Linked DNA regions of Xenopus tropicalis. The protein of the gene in region 2 interacts with the protein of the main gene of each other region in a biochemical or structural test. Links are inferred from orthologs where the notes say so. Each region holds a gene or a part of one and is shown on either strand. Other genes may lie near its edges.

Region 1 (3,550 bases), on a different chromosome or scaffold from region 2:
CATTCTCCTGTGTTTAGACCAAGTGTTAACTTGTGTTGCTCTTTTGCACATAAGTACACTGTACAATATAATTTAATTTGATTGTCTGTGTTTTAGGCATGGATTGTACATCTGGATGCCCTGAGGGCCCTCAAAGTGCTTTTCTTGGCCACCTGTCTGCCCAGTGGCTCAACAGGCTTAAAGGAGAACTGGAGCTTGCTAAAAAAAAGTAGGCTAGAAATGCTACACATTATATTTTGAGGTTCTGTATCAGCTCAAGGCAACCACAGCCTTTTAGCAGTGAAGATCTGTGAATCCGAAGTTGTCCCCAGTAGCTCCCCATCTTCTTTTCTGCTGATTCTCTGCACATGCTCTGTGCTGCTGTCACTTACTGAGCTTAGGGACCCACTCACATTATACTGTATGTAGAGAATATAATAGTCACAATTTAAAGACTGATTAGTAAATAATTAAAATTCTCATCACATGGCAGCTCAGAAACCAGTGCAGTGAATATCAGAATTTAATAGTCAGCCCGGTAGCATCACCCTATATGACAGACAAACCTTATTTTCTGTTTGATAATTTGCTACAATCCCCAAGTTTAGCTTGTCAGCAGTTGCTCACTGATTTTTTTTTTTAGGAGTGTCTGTAAAACTGCACATGCTCAAAGATGGTGATTTGCATTTGTCTGAATCATTACTGTTGTATAAGTTATTAAAATTTAGGCTTGTGCAGTATTATAAAATATGGCATTTCTACCCACATTTGTTTTTACTTTTTCTCTAAGGTGGCCATACATAGCGTGTATATGGGCCCCCCGGTGGGCTTATTCAACTGATATTTCTCCAAAAATTAGCTACATGTCATTTCGGCTGGTTTAATTTTACTGTCTGATAAGGACCGTATTGGTTTGTTGCTGCGGTCCTCATCTGACTGCACTGTAGGCCCATCTGTATATTGAGAAACCTTTGAAAAAGTAGGTCAGATTTTTAAACCCCACAGATGCAACTGCTGAAGCCATAAGGGGTTCCACAGAGAATTGTCTGCCTATTGGCCTATTGTCCACAAATATGCATATTGTATACATTTTCTGGACTAACTCTTCATTACCAATATCTTCTATAGCTTCCCAGTCAGTGGTAAGAATTTGCTTACTACATTTTAAGACATGGGATGCTGGTATCTTTGGGTATTTGTAGCCTTTAAGGAGGTTATGTAATAAAAAGTATAATTACCTGTTATTGTCTGCTGTGTGTTACTGAACCTGGGTAACCCTTTTTCCCCTCTCTTTCATATGTACTGTTATCCATTTTTCTCTGTTGGTGGATGAATGTTTTCATTTTACTCTGTTGGTGGATAAATGTTTTAGTTAGTGTGTTTTTGGTTTTGTTATAACGGAGTAGCACTCAATAAGGTTTCTAAAATCAGTCATTTATTTGGATGTTTGTATATTAATACACACTGTATTATGTTCTCATTTAATAGATTGCCAGAAGGATAAGTGAGCATCCAACCCACCCTTTGCTTATTGGGCTGCAGCCGACTTTGTAATCATCAGACGTTTTGCCTACAATCAAACATGGCAAACCGAGGCGGAGCTACCAGACCGAATGGACCGAATGCAGGAAATAAAATCTGTCAGTTTAAACTTGTCCTTTTAGGAGAATCCGCAGTTGGAAAGTCTAGTCTAGTGCTTCGCTTCGTAAAGGGACAGTTTCACGAATTCCAAGAGAGCACAATTGGAGGTCAGAGAAATATTGCAAAGTATTACAGCTGTATTTAAAAATGTAATCAAAACATCACAAATATATACATTATATATTGAATGGTACCCCAAATTATTAGTCACCAAGCAGTTCCATGACCATTTAAAATAATGAGGCCACAGGCAGGGTCCTGGAACTCTGAGGTGACTTTATACTTTACAATAGAAAGTACTTTATTAACAATATAGTGGGGATGCATGAATTCAGGATTCGGCATTTTCCAGCAGGATTCGGCCTAATCCATGCCTCTGGCCATACTTAGAACACGTTGTTCTCTATCCCCTTCTTCATCTCCGTTTGCATATGGAAATTTTAGGATTCAGATTCGGTCCAGTATTCGGCTGAATCTTTCACAAAGGATTTGGGGTTCAGCCAAATCCTTATAATGGATTTAGTGCACAGGTTTCCCTAAATGAAATTGAAGTTTAAAACACTGTTTAACCCTTTCTGTTCAACTGGACTGTCTCTTAAAACTGTAACAGGAGCCAGGTCTATAAATCAGCTTTAATTAGCTGGCTTGCAACATTGTTTCTGTAGTCCGAGCCAGGAGTGCTTTTAACTGCAATTACATGTGCAAATACTGTAAACCCACTGAAATCTATAAATGTTAAGTCGCTCATGATTGTATATGCTTTTATCATGCAAAAAATAGTTTTTGTGGGGAGGATGCCTTTAAGGCTAGAGTCATATGAGTGATTAGGTCATTTGGTGTGGCCTAGCTGCTTAGGTGAGGGCTGGGCAGGTACACTGCAGGCTCACTGCTGACATTGCAGAACTGCACACATCATTTGTTGAATGAGCTGCTGAGTATCCAATTACCTTAAATCAATCGTTAATCTGATATCTAGAGCTATAGGGCACCAGCCAACATAGTTGTGTGTGAGAGGGTGATATGTCTTTGCCTTACTTGTGTAAATTCTACTAAAGGGTATATAAGCTTAAAAACAGATATTTATGTAAATGTATTCATAATACTTCTCTGAGAACTCATGAAATTTACTTTCACTTTTCTGAGATATTGGCAGTTTTAGACGCTTCGGCTCAGCAGCTCCCTTTAAAGGCCAAATGTGTCGTAACAAACCTGTCTATGCATTAGATTTCCTTTAATACTGTGATTTATAACAATTTGTCTGTATGACTCCCATTGCTGTCATTTGGTAACACTGGACTGGTTTAATTCCTGATCAGATGGAAAACTTCAGAGGAAAATGTAACGTTGCTTTTCTCTGTTTTGCACACACTTTATGTTGCTCTTTATTATGTTTAGAATATCAGGATCTGGAGTTAGAGCCAGATTACATTTTACCACCCATGTGCCCAAGTAACCAAGAATATAGATAGCAGTTTACATAATAGGCTTATCATTATACAGGTATGGGGCCTGTTATCCAGAATGCTTGGGACCTGGGGTTTTCTGGATAAGGGATTGTTCCGTAATTTGGATCTCCATAATTTAAGTCTGCTAAAAATCCTTTAAATATTGAATAAACCCAATAGGATTGTTTTGCCTCCATTAATTATCTTAAATATCTTAATTAGGATCAAGTACAAGGTAATGTTTTATTATTAGAGAAAAAATGGAAATCACTTTTAAAAATTATAATTATTTACTTACAATGGAGTCTGTGGGAGACAGGCTTTCCGTAATTTGGAACTTTCTGCTACCAGCTGCAGTTCTGCAACTCTCGCCATTTCCCTGCAGCTGGAAGGCCACAGGCTGTGGAAGTCTTTTGGTAATATTTAAAATGAACTATAGAGGGGCTGTTTCTGTGATATTACTACACTGAATTTTGGTCCTTTTT
Region 2 (3,550 bases):
TATATACCTACCTGGAATCCCATCGATCTGTTTTTGCATCAAACTTGTATGTGGGAATAAAATTGATAGTGCCTTCCGTAAAATCAGAAAAGACGTTTTTCATCTCTCTTTGGATATTCAACTAAATGAAATGAAGGCACTAATTAAGAAATGTATTGAAAATAAAGCCATTATTCTTTACACAGTAGAACAAATAATTGCATGAGAATTACAAACCTTATTAGATATATACATGAAAAATGGGATAGCACACACAGATGGAGCAAACTTTCATCACATGGTGCACCATTTAACAGAATTTTGTTTATATGCGGGGGAAAAAAAAATATCTATTGATTATAATCCTTTCATGTAATTCACTTTCACTAAGCAACTCAACAAACTAAGCAACACAGACACAATAGGGTCAATGTTACCATGAGTCAATAAACCTATGTTAAATATGAATATTTTTGGAGTGTGGCAAGAAATAAGAGTACCCAGAAGAATGCCACACATACACAAGGGAAACAAGAACTCCTTGCTGGTAGTGGCATGGACAGAAGGGAATTTAGGACCCAGCACTACAAAGCAGCAGTGCTACCCACTGTGCCACAATGTTGCCAAAGTACTTGACTCTGTGGAACATAGTTAGCGAATGTTTTCCATCTGTACACAGTTAGTGTGCAGATTGATTACTCAACCCCTCCTCTCTTTACCTGGTCATATTTCAACAGAGTCTGAATGTCATTTTTCGCAATCAAGCTTTTGACCTCTGCAGCATCAAATTTGCACAGACGGTAGTTTAAGTCTCCCAGCCAAATAACAACGCTGCAAAAGAAAATATAGTTAAAGCAATAAAGTATAGAAAAACATTGCTGTGAGAAAATGTTAACAAGACCATAAAGGTGGCCATACACGGGCCGACTATAGCTGCCGATATCGGTCCCTTGGACCGATTCGGCAGCTAATCGGCCCGTGTATGGGGAGAGCAGAGCGGCCTGGCTGACCGAGATCTGGCCTGAAATTGGCCAGATCTCGATCGGCCAGGTTAGAAAATCTGGTCAGATCGGGGACCGCATCGGCTCGTTGATGCGGTCCCCGATCCGACTGCCCCATTGCCGCCCACATAATCCGATCGTTTGGCCCCAGGGCCAAACGATCAGATTATTTTTTTTTAACCTAAATGCTCCCCGATATCGCCCCCACCCGTAGGTGGGGATATCGGGGGAAGATCCGCTCGCTTGGCGACATCGCCAAGCGAGCGGATCTGCTCGTGTATGACCACCTTAAATGTGAATGCACTGAGCTGCTTATCTGGCAAATGGGTGTCTGTAATGAGAAATTATACAGAGATAAGGCCTTCATTTAGTAGAGTCTTGCCATGTTCCAATCTAAAGCCCCAGAAGGCTAGAGTGTCGAGAAAGAGTGACTGCAATCTGTTAAACTGCAGGACAACCTTCAAATATGTCTTATGAGGTGACCCATACTCAGAGTGAAGATGGCCAGGGAGTTAGGCCAAAACATTAGCCAGAAAAGGATAAAAATATGCATTGTTGCCATGCCATATATTTCTGCATGCTCTTACAAACATTTAGAACAGATTTTATGTCCTGAAATAGAAAATGATCGGTGCTTATTTGCACCCCAGGTTACTAAGAATAGTTGTTCCTGGTGTATATGAACAATTTCTGCACTACTTTCCTTTCACTTACACTGCAGAGAATAGTACCCTGATCAAAATTTTTTTTTTTTTTTTTTTTAAAGCAGCACACTTATAGCTACAGTGGAACTTACTCATGTTTCATTATATTTGAAATAGGTATGTTCTGGTCTGGAACAGTAAAGTTTAGACGGGCACAGATATCTTTGTAGTCTTGGTTTCTCCTCTCAAAGTCCTCCACGTGGGCAGCCAGATGAGAGTTAACAAAACAGAAGGAGGTGTTGTGGAAAACAAATCTAACGGCAACACCTCCCTTGTTACCCTAAAAGTGAGCAGAAGGTAAGGATAAATATATACATGAATAGAACACGTACAGAGTTTATAAGGTTTGTGTTTAAGGAGTTGTGATGAAGTGAATTCCTCTAAAAAGTTTTGTTTGTTAATCCCTAAATGTTAATTAACTTTGCTGGTAAGCAATCTAAGCAAATAGCTAATGTCTATAGAGCTTGTCTATGTGTTAAATTCAAAACTTTGCTATAGTATTAATTCAGGCTAATTTTCTAATTTAGGTCAGTTTTTCTTTGTGCCTTCGATGCACTGTGTTTTAAGTGGTGCGGAAACAACCGTGTATTAAAAGCTGTGCTTGCCACTTGTGCATACAGAAGTACTTACGGAGAGCTCCCAGACCAGCCACTTCCTAAAGGAGGGCAAGCCTCTTTGAATGATAGGGTAGATACTCACCACCTGGTGGCAGCACAGAATGGTCTTTGGGCTATAAAAGGATGCTAACAGATTTTTTTGGCATTTAGCTCTAGAGTTCTAAGATTGTGCTTGCAGGGTTACTGTTTTACAGTACTGTGTACTACTGATGAAAAAGGTGTACTGCAACTTTACAAATACATTTTGTTTTTTGTGCATTTGCCTAAAATAAAGGACACATTTCTGTCTGGTTACTGAACACACACCCAGTGACAGGAGTATCATAGTTAAAAAAAAATGTGGCATAGCAATAGTATTTCCCAAATGAAAGGAGTTGGCAGTTAGCATGATCATCACGCCTTGCTGTCAGACATTAGGATGAAAAACCCACAATGGCCCAGGGTGATAAGAGAAATGAAATTGCCAAATTCAAATAGCATTGCTGCTGCTGACAGAAGTGCAGGAACCTTTTGTATGTGTAGATAAAGCAGTGTCTAGAGACTTACTTTGTGTACGCAAATATATATGACTAACATTTAAATGAAAAGTAAGAAGTTTACTTCCTGGCCAAAAAAGTACATTTTAAATATTCAGTTCTATTAAAAGTGCTTGTATCTGGTAAATCCTCCTTGCATGGTCTATAAAGAACACGCTGACTACCAACCTGTATACTATTAAACTGATTTACTTGCCAACTTTAAGTAATAGTTAAGGCTTTACAGCTATAGGAGATGAATCGCTTGCTTGTGTGTGTTCCCTCTAATGAAAAAATATGAAAGTCCCCAACAATGTAAACTATGCCTGCATACTGTACAGACAAGTACACAATGTGGCAGCATTTAATCATTTTCAGTAAATACTCAAACTGCTAATAGAGTAGATAGGATTTTAATTTACTACTCTAAGTAGCAGTAATTAAGTAGTTTAAAATATAAAGATTTTTCCATGTTAAGAGACTTGGAAATTGGTTCTCTGGCTCTAAAGCACAAGTAGTATTATTCACTGGACCCTAACCATCCAGGCAGAACAAATACTTCAAAAAGAAACTGTGATCCTTGCTACTGCTGTTGAAACTTTCATTCATCCCTTGGTTTGGGTAATTCTGGTCAGGTGCATATATTTAATGGCAGCATTTATTGCTGCTATATCTTCTATCAGACAACTGGAAAATCAATGCATAAGACTATAATGTAGAGCATGAGGGCTCCC
Region 3 (3,550 bases), on a different chromosome or scaffold from region 2:
TGTCCACTTCTCATTAAATGGATTCACAATTTTTAATTTTAATTTTTACGTTGACCCAACGGACATTAAATTGTTAATAAATTCTGTGGTAGATGCACAACAGCCCACTGCAATTAAAAAACATAAGTTCTCCATACATTTCAAATAAAGCAAAGAGAAGTCTCTGCAAAAAAATAAATACAGCCATAGTTTGTTTTTCACATGGGAATGTTACATTAATACACTGACATTTTTATATATTATGTATATAATGTACAATGTAACTGAAAAAACAAAGTTATATTGATTTAATTACCTAGTGTCAGACAGGTCACATTTGTTTCCAGCAATGGCCATAACAATGTTCTCTGGTCCATGTTCTTTTAATTCTTTTACCCATTTCTTTAGTGTATGAAAGGTATCCTGTTTACCAACATAATAAAGAAGATAAAAGTGTTTCCACCACATAGAATTTTCAACATTCCTTTTTATATTTACTAATAGTGGGACCCTGTCAATGAAGGAAATCAAAGCCAAAAGCTGTAGTGAGGATGTGGGGGGTTGTAATTTAATATGTAAATGGAAATTATTCTGTAAATGTATAATCATTTTCTTTTTGCTTTATTCCCTTAGATTCTATAAAGGTGCTGTTTCAGCTGACACCTTCTCCCTACTTTATCAGCCATGGTCTTTTGGATTTTCTTTGCCATAACTTTTCTTATTATCTCCTATAGCCCACTATGTTATAACCCCCTAAAAATAAACCAGAGGAAGCATTACTGGGCGGGGCAAACTGGACTCTAAATTGATCTCTCCATTGCAGAGATAACTCTCAAGGTTTCTTTATAGCTATAAAGATTGATACCATTAAACTACATCACCTCTGGTGTTTCCCTAAGGCTAAGACCAATTCAGCAGGAAAACTGTAATGTATAGTGGGTCAATAATGCCCTGCAGTGTCTTGCCTTTCAGCCTTACCCAGTCCTTCCTATGGTTCTGCGTTCTGGTATCCTATTGCCTTGTTACCTTAATGTTCTGCCCTGTCCTCCCACGTGCATTGCTTTCTTGTAGGCCCGTATTTGACCTTCTGTTGTTTAGTTTCATTAATTTTCTGCCCTGCTGTGGCTCCTTTACTTTAAAACTCAGCATTGGCACTACTAAAATCCAATCAGCTGCTTTCTGTCTCTCGTATCCGTGTATTGACAAGCATAGGATCAGCCAGAACTGATCTTGGACTTTCTAAAATCTGCTGTGTGTGTGCAGATCTATGCCTATCAACATCACACACACGTACAAGGTTAAGGAAGTCGATCAAGTTTTTCACTGGTGTATAAAATAGTGACAAATGTGCAATTAGCCTAAACCCTGTCAGGCCACACCTTGATATTCACAAGCTCTTCACAAGAGTTTTCCAGCCTGGATTTTTACATATGAAGGTTCCTCCATCTCTAAACCCTTAGCTACAGGCTTCAGGGTGCAGGAATGTTTCCGTCATAGAGTAAGGTGGCAAGTGGCACATGCAGGGGTAGCCATCGACTTCAAAATCAACTATGATGCTAGGGGTGTACGGGCAGCTGGGTATTGGGGTATTTAACGCCATTACTGTATACACTATTATATTCATTAACCAACCTGCTTTGTGATGTCATATACGATAACTGCAGCAGCAGAGCCTCTGTAGTACATTGGTGCCAGGGAATGAAACTAGAATTACATATTACTGTTTGCGTTAAAACATATAAAAAAATAAGGATCACAGTAAAATTAAACAATTTAAAACAATCTTTAATTACTTTTTAATATTCTTGCGATATACATCAGGATGACACACTATGCCCTAATAAAAATTGCAGTAGGTGATATAATATACCCTTTATATTTCACATGTATTCTCTCTATAGCCCTTTTAAGATCAGCCTCTCTGGGCCCCAGCCATTTGTTGTTTGAAGTCTACCTTTGAGTTCCCCACACTTTGGACACTTTGAAATCTATCCTAATCTTCCAGCACCCTAACCTAAATAAAGATCATTCCTCCAGTATCCCTCTACCCAGTGGTACAATGTTATGTCTATCCCCAACATCTGTCAAGAAGCAAAGATTGGATCTGTTATCTAGAAACCCATTATGCATAAAGCGCAGAAACATGGGAAGAAACTATTTAACAGTACATTTTAAGCTCAAAATTCTTATTGCTGCTTCTTTTCCAGATCTTCTATGTCTGTATTGGTCAGAATACAATCTATCAGGTTTTTTTTAATTTCACCATTTTTTAATAGACGTTTGGCACAGTGCTCCAAATTACAGAAGTGCTGTAATGGCAGAATATGTGGATTTCTATATCCATCTATATCTATATGAATATGCAGAATATATTTTTCAACAATTTTTATTTCTTTTTGCTATAATGCTATCAATAGATAGCTTTATATGCTATTACACTAATAAACAAAGTCAAATAACTTTCCCATACAAACGTTTACATACTTACACGCTCTTGACCAGCAGTATCCCAAATCAAAAATTTATGCAGCTCATTTCCAGAAGGAACAGTCTTCGTCATAAATGAAGCCCTGTGTGAGAGAAAAAGGATCGTTTTTTTATGGTGGAGAAAACAGAAAATTGTTTTAGGTTGTAATCAAAAAAGGGGGCAAATATCAGTATAATAGTATTTTTTTTCTATGAGCAAATTTGTACGTAGGGTAACTCATAGCAACCAATTAGCTTTATAAATAACTAGGCACATTAGAGAGCCGGTGGACGACACATTAATCTTCTGATCAATGTAACTTTTCCACATTGCTACTACCCCAGTTGTAAATATTATGGAATAAAAACCCCTGGACCATATCACAGACATTAAAAGCTGTAGGCCTCATTTACTAATCCCACTGGTGGATCTGTACTTATGGGACATGTAAAGTGTATTTCACTGGGGGGTGAAATAGATTGCTGTGGAAAAACCTCCCTAAATGCTGCACCAGCATTTTACTTACCTTTCTACTGGCATCCCAAGAGTTACTTGGGAAAATCTGTGTTTGTGCACGCAGGTCTAATCTACTGCGAATGCACAGAACACCAAGTGGCAAATGATCAAAGGTATTGAGATGCCAGCACAGTGCTTAGGTAGCGTTTTCATAGGCTGGTGCAGTTTCTTATAACTTGTCTGAGGTGAGTTTTTCAACTCACTTCATGGCAGCAGCACCCCTGAAGTTACCTGGGGTGACAAAAAGCTGCTCCTGGAAAACTTAAAGAGCCAACATTGTTATCGTCAATATAGAAATACCAAATGCAGGCTGCGCTGTATTCATGGAAAGGTCTTTGTACTCCAGATGCAAAGACCTTTCCATGAATACAGCGCAGCCTGCATTTGGTATTTCTATATGGACTATGCCTAACCCAGCACTTTGTACAACTGGTAAATAATTGTGAGTAAACTTAAATAATTCTATGTATCTCTTGGGGCATTTTAGTTGGAAGTGGCAAACAGGAAAACAAATGCAAGCAACTGTGGATGTTTGCTATTTACCACTCCTAATAAAGACATTCACAGCATGTATGGTATAAATGATTT
Region 4 (3,550 bases), on a different chromosome or scaffold from region 2:
AACCCTCATTAGAATAAAGGGAAGAACAAGCTATGAAACCCAGACCAGTGTGGGAAATTAAGTGTTAAATACCTGCTTTTTAGTACCAATATCTGGCACAGGAGCACAAAGCAGCCATTAAATACTTATACTTACCATCCTCTTATCCATTTTTGCTTTGATGTCTCTTGCCAATGTAAAAAATGCCTGTGAAAAGATAGAAGAACTTGATATCAAAAGCAATACTATGAGTGGGTGATTCCTTTAATCTCTTGCCTATATAGTACAAGTACTAGACAACAATAAACACTCTTTGGGGCTGATTTACTAAGACACGAATTCGAATTGGAAAAATTCCGACTGGAAAACGAACATTTTGCGACTTTTTCGTATTTTTTGCGATTTTTTAGTCGCCTTTACGACTTTTCGGAAATTGTCGCAACTTTTTCGTAACCATTACGACTTGCGCGAAAAAACGAGAGTTTTTCGTAGCCATTACGATTCGCTCGTATCTTGTCGCGACTTTTTCGTATTGAGCGCTCGTAAGCGGCGGGCGAAACTTTCAGACTTAGCATGATTTTGGAAGCCTCCCATAGGACTCAATGGCACCCTGCAGCTCCAACCTGGCCCAAGAAAAGTCACCATGCTGAAGCTTGAATGAATCTGAATCTTTCGTACTCGGCGCGAAAGCTGCGAAAAAGTCGCGACTTTTCGCGCAAGTCGTAAGGCTACGAAAAAATCGCAACATTTTGCGCAACATTCGGAATGGCTATGAAAAAGTTGCGTCAATTTTCAGAAAAATTGCAAAATACCGATCATTACGGAAAAAACGCAATCGGACGCATTCGGCCCGTTCGTGGGTTAGTAAATGTGCCCCTTTGTATCTCTATATAGAAAGATGAAAACACTGGCAAAACACTGACCCCAAACATGAAGTAAAAGTGGAGGTTTCTTAAAAACATACAAAAATTTATTTTAGATTCTCCAGGAATAAATACATACATAAATCACAACACACAAAGATCAGACACATATAGGTTATTATTTCTGGTTACGGCCCCCTAAACTCATATTCATACATACACTTGCATAGGTATTCCACAAATCTTACCATAACCTGGACCCACTTAGATGCAGCTTTGGGCCTCCATTTTGGAACTACTATTGTGTCCGCATAAAAGTATCATACCAACACTATAGATTCTATGTTTCAGGGCTCTATTTTGACATGTGGAACTGTTACTAAGTCCATTGCACAAAGGGTTAAAAAGGCAAAACAGACAACAAAAAGGCCATATGGAAGGGTTGTTATAAATATTGGGAGTTAACATTCTACCCCAAAAAATATCCCGGCGTTTTCTGGTGCCCCATTGGTTGTCCTATAGTGCTGGGTAATGATTGCATCAATGAAGAGCCATCAGGCACAGGGTACAGTACCATGTTGCGTGGTTTTTTCTCACTACACAGCACTACAGATTTTTCTTTTTTTTTTGCCGATACGAAAGAATATGGAAAGTTGCAGAAAAATGCTCGGACTTCTATAAAACACCCACTGCCTTTTTGACTATAGAAAACCTATGACTATATTGTTTGCTGACCACTCTTCACTTTAACCTGTTTTGATTGTTAAGGGAACAGTAACACCAAAAAATTTAAGAGTTTTAAAGTAAAAGAAATATAATGTACTGTTGCCCTGCACTGGTAAAAGTTGTGTGTTTGCTACAGTAACTCTACTATAGTTTATATAAATAAGCTGCTGTGTAGCCATGGGGGCAGCCATTCAAGCTGGAAAAAAGGAGAAAAGGCACAGGTTACATAGCAGATAACGGATAAGCTCTGTAGAATACAATAGTGTTTCTGTTATCTGCTAAGTGCCTGTGCCTTTTCTCCTTTGAATGGCTGCCCCCATGGCTACACAGCTGCATTCTTTATATAAACCATAGTAGTGTTTCTGAGGCAAACTCACCAGTTGTACCAGTGCAGAGCAGCAGTACATACACTTGAATTTTTTTGGTGTTACTGTTCCTTTAAGGGTGTCTACCAATGAACATTACTCTCCCCGCTTACTGAATTAAGCACGTTCAGTCTACTTACATTTTCCACATTGATATTTGCCTTTGCACTTGTCTCCATGAACTTAATTCCATATTCAAGGGCCAGCTGAAATACAAACAGTGATATTGCTAGTTATTTGAGGCACTGTACTATTTGCTTGTTCGGGGGCTCACAGTCCTTCCCACTACAGATAAAAAAAAACTGATTTATATTTCAATTAGCGCTCGCGCTCACCCAGTTAATTAGTAGGTTCGGGTGCTTATGCCGCAAACCTTTCGCTTATCACTTTTTTCTCTCTTTGTTCTGGGGAATTTATGCTCATATGTAAGTTCAAAATGCAGGATGCTCACTCACCACTTCCTTTTGGTGGCCCGGGTGCCATGCCCCAGACCCGCAGCATGGGGAGATTCAACTTCAATAGCCAGCACAAAACAGCATGCACTCATCGGACTCCAGGACAGCGGATAAAATTTCAAAAAAGCTTTATTAAGGATAAAAACCTAACCGTTAGGTTTTTATCCTTAATAAAGCTTTTTTGAATTTTTATCCGCTGTCCTGGAGTCCGACGAGTGCATGCTGTTTTGTGCTGGCTATTGAAGTTATTTGAGGCAGAAAAAAAAAAATTGGTAATGGATATGCTTCTATATTTTCTCTAAATATTTTAAACAAATGCACCACATTCTTATGTCTCTATCCTTTAGCCTCATTCTTTCAATATTCACCTTACTACATACTGGGTAATATTCTAAACTATATGAACAAAAAAATGCACCAGATTCTATTTTCCTGAGGTTAATACTTAAATTAAAGTCCAAGGAAACTGAGAAACAATTGCTCAGCCTTTCCCATTGCCCAACACCATATTTATTTTATGCAAAACTGTTAACATGTATTAACATGACCCTGCCCTGAATATCCTTGCACATATATCCCACTGACAACATCATTCCTCTCTTCATTCTTCCTTTAATATGTCAAGTCTAATTTGGACTACAGGAGCACTTACATTAAGCACATGTGACACCAGCCAAATAAATAAATTATATATATATATATATATATATATATATATATATATATATAATATATATATATTTTTTTGGGGGGGGGATGATTGGCGAGTGGATATGCACTATTTTTATGCCCTGGCAGAGTAATGCTCAGAGTTTTCTTCTACTTAAAAGGGCTAAAGATTGGTTATTGTTATAAAGCATTTGGAAACTTATTTTTCATATATTTTTAAATGTACCCAAACAGGACCTCATAGCTCGTTTACCTATTCACAGCTTAATGGGTTTTAAGCTCAGATATCAGAACACCAAAACTGTTAAATAACTCTTACCTTTTCACCCTTCTCTTTGGAAACTTGTCGCTTTTCATTCACATCACATTTGTTTCCTAGGATCATTTTCTCAACATCAGAGGATGCATGCTGGAAGGCAAAGAGTGTAAAGGTTTATATTTGCATCGAGAACTTGTCAGTCAGAATAGTATGATGGTATCAAACATTAGTTTT

The links. The genes of interacting proteins can lie anywhere in the genome.
Region 1: the proteins of ocrl (region 2) and rab5a form a complex in vitro, tested with the Homo sapiens proteins (2 studies listed by BioGRID and IntAct, with this or other methods). The link is inferred for Xenopus tropicalis from reciprocal best matches to the Homo sapiens genes OCRL and RAB5A.
Region 3: the proteins of ocrl (region 2) and rab31 form a complex in vitro, tested with the Homo sapiens proteins (2 studies listed by BioGRID and IntAct, with this or other methods). The link is inferred for Xenopus tropicalis from reciprocal best matches to the Homo sapiens genes OCRL and RAB31.
Region 4: the proteins of ocrl (region 2) and rab8a form a complex in vitro, tested with the Homo sapiens proteins (2 studies listed by BioGRID and IntAct, with this or other methods). The link is inferred for Xenopus tropicalis from reciprocal best matches to the Homo sapiens genes OCRL and RAB8A.

Annotation. Positions count from the first base shown.
Region 1 is NC_030682.2:45,578,550-45,582,099, forward strand, and holds part of rab5a (ras-related protein Rab-5A), read left to right. Parts: intron 1-1,467; 5' UTR 1,468-1,561; coding exon 1,562-1,727; intron 1,728-3,550. UniProt on the Homo sapiens protein: The small GTPases Rab are key regulators of intracellular membrane trafficking, from the formation of transport vesicles to their fusion with membranes.
Region 2 is NC_030684.2:52,492,660-52,496,209, forward strand, and holds part of ocrl (inositol polyphosphate 5-phosphatase OCRL), read right to left. Parts: intron 1,965-3,550; coding exon 1,777-1,964; intron 811-1,776; coding exon 699-810; intron 122-698; coding exon 12-121; intron 1-11. UniProt on the Homo sapiens protein: Catalyzes the hydrolysis of the 5-position phosphate of phosphatidylinositol 4,5-bisphosphate (PtdIns(4,5)P2) and phosphatidylinositol-3,4,5-bisphosphate (PtdIns(3,4,5)P3), with the greatest catalytic activity towards PtdIns(4,5)P2.
Region 3 is NC_030682.2:104,653,617-104,657,166, reverse strand, and holds part of rab31 (ras-related protein Rab-31), read right to left. Parts: intron 2,550-3,550; coding exon 2,468-2,549; intron 1,684-2,467; coding exon 1,612-1,683; intron 403-1,611; coding exon 296-402; intron 1-295. UniProt on the Homo sapiens protein: The small GTPases Rab are key regulators of intracellular membrane trafficking, from the formation of transport vesicles to their fusion with membranes.
Region 4 is NC_030677.2:104,435,890-104,439,439, reverse strand, and holds part of rab8a (ras-related protein Rab-8A), read right to left. Parts: intron 3,467-3,550; coding exon 3,377-3,466; intron 2,140-3,376; coding exon 2,074-2,139; intron 187-2,073; coding exon 136-186; intron 1-135. UniProt on the Homo sapiens protein: The small GTPases Rab are key regulators of intracellular membrane trafficking, from the formation of transport vesicles to their fusion with membranes.